2 linked regions of the Mus musculus genome follow. The protein of the gene in region 1 purifies or fractionates together with the protein of each later gene. This does not show direct contact. Links are inferred from orthologs where the notes say so. Each region holds a gene or a part of one and is shown on either strand. Other genes may lie near its edges. The genes, in order: Rrm1 and Rrm2b.

Region 1 (3,819 bases):
AGTAATTGTAATTACACTACACTGAAAGATCTCTAAACCAAACACCAAAAAGTCTCAGAATATGTCATATTCAATCACATTTACATGAAAAACTACATGTGTGCGTGTATGTATGTGTGTGTATATATACATACATACATACATACACACACACAAAATAAAATTAAATCAATTAATTAAAGAATAAAAACATTTTTAAAACGAAGACCTATTTGGGTCAGGTAGTGATGGCACATGCCTTTAGTCCCAGTGCTCAAGAAGCTGAAGCAGGAGGATCTCCAAGTTTGAGGCCAGCCTGATCTACATGAGTTCCAGGGCATTCGGAGCTACATAGTAAGACACTTATCTAAAAAAAAACCCAAAACCAAAATAAAACAAAAAATTGACTAGCATGGTTGTTCAGCTCCTCAAATAACATCAACTCCCACTGAAATGCCTACTGTGTGTTGAAAGGCTTTCACTATGCCAAACAACTTTCATGTAACTATTTTCTTATACTTTCCAAAGCCATTTCTGTGGTAGGTCACTTTAGCCCCATTTCAGAAGATAATTTATAAGTTTCAGAGGTCACACTAGCATATCCAACTCCTGAAGAGCCAGAAGAGCCCGGCCTCCGGCCTCCAGGGTCCTTTACACCTCACTCCTTACTTTGCAATCTTCTCCTTGAGAGGCTTCCAGTCCCACAGGTCTGTAGGAGCAACATTCCACATGTCATACTGAAGAATCTAAGAGATAAATACCCCACAGTTATGATGTTACTTTGGGGCAATTTAAAACAATGACCAAAAAAATTTTTTTAAAATAACTAACTGCCATATCCCCACATTCCAGCCACTGCATCTTGTAGTCAACACATTAAGGGACGTTAGCTGCACTGAGTCTTAGACATGGCTCCATTAAGCATATTGCTCAGAAGCAGCCTGGGACCTCACCACACTCCTGAGGATCGACAAACTAGGAAATCTTAACAGTCATTAAACATTTTAAGAGATACATTCCTTTTATAATAAAGCACACTCTGCTCTTTGCTTCCTTCATCTGTTTATTTGGCCTAGAATACCAAATTTCAAATAATCACATATTAGAATTCCTAAGTATCAGAACAAACTTCAAAACTAAATCTTTATAAAGAAGAGACAAAGGCAGCAAGGAAATCAACTCTAAGAGGCCTCCCCAGATTCCAGTCCCTGGTGTCCCAGACCATGGATAATTAATCTATCTCCTAGTCTACTAGTGTGAACGAACAGGTTTTGGGAATATCATAACTCCCGGTCTCTTGCAGAACAGGGATTGCTGGATTTAGGGCGCACTTGAATAAATCTAGGCCTTAATAATCCAAAACAATGCCATCTCAAGGTCCTTAACTAAATCTGTACAGACCCTCTCACAACCCAGCACACCCTCCCAGGTCCCATGGAGGAGGGGCCATTCAGCTCATTCCCCATACTCACAGGCAACAGAAAATCAGCCATCTACTTACACCCTTGCTGACTGGAGATCCCTCATACGTTTCATAGGGGCCATACTCCTTGGCTAGTTCACAGCTGGCTTCCAGGGCTCCATAGTAAATGGTTTCAAAGATCTGCTTATTTAATAACTGGGCTTCTGGGCTCTCAAAGGGGTATCTCATCAGGATGAAAGCATCTGCTAAACCTTGTACCCCAATTCCAATGGGCCGATGGCGTTTATTTGATAAGTGTGCCTTTGTGCCAAAAGGTTTAGGAAAAAAAGAAAAGAAAACATCACTGAACTCAGAAGGCCACATTCTACACTTACACACAACCTTTTCATTTTCCTTCTCTCACACCAACTCTGGGGACAGCCAGACTAAGACAAATGTCCTCCATCTGGATTCAATAATGATCAATAAAGCAGAGAAATCTATCCATACCTCTGGAATAGGGTAGTAGTTTATATCAATTATTTTATTCAGATTTCGGACAATGACTTTAGTGACTTCTGCCAGTTTCTCAAAGTCATACGTATGTTCCGGTGTGACATACATATTCAGAGCCAGAGAAGCCAAGTTACAAACTGCAACCTGCAATCCAGAGAAAGGTGTCAGAATCACACACACTCCTGACTTCTTCTTCCTGTATCAGTGAGATCACTAGAGCCTTTGGAACAATCAGATGTGAAAACTTACAATCACCCCAACACTGGTGCAGAGGACCAAACTCAAGGAATGTATTAGTCTTTACTGGGAACCTCTTTATAACTCAGCAAAATCCCCACCCCCTAAAATCATGGTTTCCCATCATTTATCAGCAAATTTCTATACCCCATGGATTCTACTCCTCTTGCTATCAGTCACATGAGTTGCACTATTCAGAATACTGAAATAGGTTTTTGGTTTTGGTTTTGGTCTTTTGGTTTTTCGAGACAGGGTTTCTCAGTGCAGCCCTGGCTGTCCTGGAACTCACTTTATAGACCAGGCTGGCCTCAAACTCAGAGATCTATCTGCCTAACTCTGTTCTGGGATTAGAGGTGTGTGCCACCACTGCCCAGCTCTTAACTGTACTCCCTGGTGCATTCCGTTCTCCTTGCTCCCGGGTACTTAAATTATTGTTTTTAAAATGCAGCTTAGTTAACATAACTCCACCACAAAATTTCTTTTCAGTCCTGGGGAACAAAATCTCCTTCAACCACTTCAAATAACCACTGGGTTCAGTGAGGGAGCGACAAGCAGCAACCACCTCTCCAGTCCCTCGGTGTGCTAGGCAGTCAGTCTCTCCGCCTACCTCATCTTTACTGGTGTACTCTACTATTTCTGTACACAGGTTGCTGCATTTGATGGTTCCCAGGTTCTGCTGGTTGCTCTTCCGGTTACAGGAATCTTTGTAGAGCATGTATGGGGTACCGGTCTCCGTCTGGGACTCAATGATGGCATACCAAAGCTGCTGAGCTTTTACAACTTTTCGGACACGACCCTGCTTCTCGTAACTGAAAGACAAAGCTAGTATTATCTCAACATTCACACCCTAGGAAGAATACAGAAAAATATAAAATTAGGCAAATTCTCAAAGCTTTGCTAATGAGGGAAAAAAATGAATGACTTTTTTTTTTTTTAAAAAAAGGTTGGTTCTATTTATTTGTGTGTCTGTTTAAGTATATGTGCATGAGTGTTGTGAGGGCACATGCCTGGGCACATGCCTGGGCACACGGAAGCCAGAGCTGAGTTACTGGTATTTCCAGGACACCTGGCTTGTCATCTAGTTATCTGACATCTAAATCAGGGCCTCAAGACTGTGCAAAAACTCTTAACTACTGAACCATTTCTCCAACCCTGAAATCTATTTTCTATCCGCTAAGACCACAGAAAACCAGGCAGCTTTAGAGTCCTTCAGATGACCCTTAACCCCACCCAGTCAATACTACTTTTCACAACCAAAAGGAACAAAAACCACCATCAAGACTGGCAGCTGCTTACAGAGCCTCTGCCACGCAGCCTGCATCTACTTTTGCTTTTTGTTCTGTTTTGCTTTCCCTGTTGCTCTGGCTTTCTTTCTCTGAAGTCGCTTCTCCTCCTACATGCAGCTGCACACTGAACACCACTGCTAAAGCTGCCTACTTTCTCAGACCCTAACCTAAAGGGGCATGGCTTTCTCTCTTCCTCTTTTAGATCCCTCCTTGCAGTTGATAATATTTATAGCTTGCCTGCCCTCTTGTTTTTCTCAAACGCTAATGAAACTATCATTAACCTTCAAAAAAATAAAAACAAAACAAAACATAATTCAGTGCTGTGCTAATTTTAACTTGTGTGTCCTAGTTACTGTGATTCCTATCACCAAAGTCCTACTCGGGAGCCAGGGGGACAGC
Region 2 (3,621 bases), on another chromosome or scaffold:
AGTTGACAAGAATTATGATCTCTCTAAGGAGACCCTTATATTCCTCCTGCAAACATTAAAACCACAAAGATTCAATGAATTCTTTATCTCAATCCACCCCTCAGTCACTCTCTGGCGAGGAGTGGACTGCATCACAACGCCACTGTACTTGATCTTCTCACTAATATTAATTAGCAGGTGAGGCAGTGGAGATAAAAGTATTAGATAAACAAACTATTTCTGTATATTAGCCCTCTGGTCACCTCCATGAACTTGGGACTTACTATTATACAAATTTTACAGATAAATATCCTGACGTTTACAGTGACTAACTGACTTGCCAAGGTCACATCAAGGAGTAAGCCAGAATATCAAGCTCATACCTGACTCCTAAATCTATGCTCTTAATGCCATCTTAAGTGCTTATGACAAAAAGGAAAAAAAAAAGACATATTGGTCACACTTTCATTGTATAAATAAACTGAAGTACATTTAGATAAAATTAAATCATTTAGAATTTAGTTTTATATTTCCTTCTATTCAAATTCTCATTCCCTTAAATGAGATACTGAAAGTTTCAAAAAGACAAAAATAGATTGCTATTTACCAACAACAGGTTTCCATGTGTTTTGTTTGTTTTCGCTGTTCTGTTGCTTTTGAGATAGATCTCAGTATGTATCCCTGATCATCCTCAAACCCAGAGATCCACGTGCCCTCAGCTTCCTCTGAGGACTGGACTAAGGCATGTACTACCACAGCCGAATTCTATAGATTTTTTTTTTTAAATGAGGAGGGCTTTAGAAATCTGCATCCAAGGTGAAGACATTATCTGTGGTTTCGGCCATGACTGCAAATCGCTGATACTCAGAAACTCGTTTCTCAAAGAAATTTGTTTTCCCTTCTAATGAAATGTTCTCCATAAAATCAAAGGGATTTTCTGCCTGAAAAATCTGGAAAGAAAAGAAACGCCATTAGACATTCTAAAGAATCCAAATTAAATCTCACAGCAAGGGCAAAATGGCAAAACCCAGAGGGCAGGACTCCACTTCATAGTCGCCTACAGCCACACTGCTCCACTAAGGTACTGAGGGTTTCTGATGGCTGTTCCCAGTTTCATTTAAAGTTTCAAAGGTTTTTGCAAAACCATTTTTTCCTTATAAAACAAGTCTCTGTCCTACAAATTTTATGTATTTGTCTGTTTATCAGAGATGGGGCAGGTACCCCAGATTGGCCACAAACTTTCGATCCTTAGAAATGTTAGAGTTACAGATAAACATCACACATCTAATGTGTCCCTTGTATTTTAAAAGTAGATTAATGTATTACAAATGCTTTTGTAGAATCCAAAATAAATTCAAGACCACCCAGCCCCTCCCCCCTCTGAAGGGACTTCCAGACTGTATAGTTTCCGTGGTCAGAATGACCATGTCTCTTGTGTTTTGGTTCAGATAGTGCCTAGATTATTATACCACCCTGAGGACTAAGTTTAGAGACCCTGAATAATAACCACAACAAAAATAACAGTTTTCAGAAAAATTCCTCTACCCCACCCTACACTGAATTCTGAAAAAAACACAAACCACCCTGACCTTGTTGCTAGAATTACTCTGATGTTAATAGCCGTGACATAATAGCTGTGATGTTACTAGCTGACCCATAAGTTCAAAACATTCTGCTGCTTTGCTGAAAAACCACAAGAGCAGGCAGAGTGAGGGACTAGGCCAAAGGGTTACTTAGTCACCCTATACAAACCAACCAATGTCTGAAAGGGTTACTTGCTACACCAATTAGAATAAGCCAGCTAGCCGGGCAGTGGTGACACATGCCTTTAATCCCAGCACTTGGGAGGCAGAGGCAGGCAGATTTCTGAGTTTGAGGCCAGCCTGGTCTACACAGTGAGTTCCAGGATGGCCAGGGCTACACAGAGAAAACCTGTCTCAAAAAACAAAACAAACACACAAAAGAATAAGCCAGCTAACCTGTTGCCTAAATCTTCCCTTTAGAAGGTATAAAAAGTGTGTTCTTTGTTCATTCGGGGTCTCTCCTCTGGCCTGCGTGCTGAGACCGGTGGGGGGGGGGGGGGCAACATGTTGGATTAATAAAAACCTCTTGCGGTTTGCAGCGATGGCAGTCTCTGTGGTCTTTATGAGTGAGGGGTTTTTGGCAGACTCCAACACTTTCAGTAAAATTAACTTTAGAGACCTTATTTGCCTATAACATTTTATTGGTAGTATGGTGGTTTGAATGAGAATAGACCCCAGAGGCTCATATATTTGAATGTTTGGTTTTGAGCTGGTGAGCTGGACGTATGGACTGTTAGAGGAGGTGTGTCACTGTGGATGTGTTTTTTGAAGTTGTTTTCTCTGCTTCCTGTCTATGATAGATCAGGATGTAGCTCTGAGCCCCTGCTCCAGCACCAGGCTTGACTGCCTTCTGCTCTGCTCCCTGCATGACAGCCACGGACTCACCCTCTCAAACTGTAAACAAGGCTCCACCACGTGTTTTCTTTGATAAGCTGCCTTGCATCTTTTCACAGCAATGGAACAGTAACTAAAACCACTAGTCACATGTTTTAAAACACTTTATTTACCTTTGAGAATCCAAGTTCTCCAAGTAATCTGTCAGCTACAAACTCAATGTACTGTTTCATCAAAACACAGTTCATTCCAATGAGGCCAACAGGCAAGGCTTCTGTTAAAAACTCCTGGAATGCAAACAAAATCAGAATAAGGAACAAAAAAATAACAATAAAATAAGCATACATTTCCCAAATATAAAGTATTATGGTTGGAATCTGAAATGCCCCCTACATGTTCATGCGTTTGAACATTTGGTCCCTACCTGTGTAGAAAGGCCATAGAACCTTTAAGAGCTCAGACTTGGCTGGCAGAAATAGTTCGCTGGGTGTGAGCTTGAAGGCCTTTTCCCCATCCCAACTCTACTTGCTGGTCTGCCAAAATCTAAACAAGCTGTACTTTAAGCTCCTACTAGAACCTTCCTTGCTATGACAATATCTTCTGAGCCATGAACCAAAATAGGTACTTCTTCCCTTAAGTTTCTCACAGAGGAAGTGACTAACATGGAGGAGTTTAGAATTATTCATACTCTAGACACTGATTTTACTCAAGGCAAGGTATGCCAGAATAAATTTAACATGACACATGATAGTCATCTGTTTACAAATGTTTGGGATAGTATTAATCGTATGATTTCACATTCTCGGGGCACCAAAGTTAAGTAGAAAATAGCACATTACTGGATCCTTCAATGTCTAGGACCTAGCTTCTAGATCTCCTCAACAGAGAAGAGGAGAATGCTTTATCCTGCAGACAGCTCTACAGACAGCTCTACAAAGACCACCACCTTGGCAGCATGACTGCAACAGGAGCAGAGAGAGAGAGACATCGGTTCCAGAGAGTATGAGAATGGACAGACATGGATTTGGAGGTTGGAAGATAAACTGAAGTCCAACTGAAAGACAGTGAGTGGTAAAGTGGAAATGGAGAAAAGTGGAAGCACATTAACCATGAAATTCATCTTCAAAGTGGTAGAAGATGCCAAGATGTGCAGCCTTCCCCTCACAGCATGAAAAACATCCTACAAAGTACGTACTCTTTAAAAAGAAGGTAAGTAAATTTCATT

The links.
Region 2: the proteins of Rrm1 (region 1) and Rrm2b purify together in Homo sapiens (affinity purification with western blotting; 3 studies listed by BioGRID and IntAct, counting the BioPlex papers as one, with this or other methods). This does not show direct contact. The link is inferred for Mus musculus from reciprocal best matches to the Homo sapiens genes RRM1 and RRM2B.

What each region holds. Positions count from the first base shown.
Region 1 is NC_000073.6:102,458,513-102,462,331, reverse strand, and holds part of Rrm1 (ribonucleoside-diphosphate reductase large subunit), read right to left. Parts: intron 2,944-3,819; coding exon 2,742-2,943; intron 2,042-2,741; coding exon 1,892-2,041; intron 1,703-1,891; coding exon 1,481-1,702; intron 726-1,480; coding exon 649-725; intron 1-648. UniProt on the Homo sapiens protein: Provides the precursors necessary for DNA synthesis. Catalyzes the biosynthesis of deoxyribonucleotides from the corresponding ribonucleotides.
Region 2 is NC_000081.6:37,926,469-37,930,089, forward strand, and holds part of Rrm2b (ribonucleoside-diphosphate reductase subunit M2 B), read right to left. Parts: intron 2,684-3,621; coding exon 2,570-2,683; intron 930-2,569; coding exon 777-929; 3' UTR 1-776.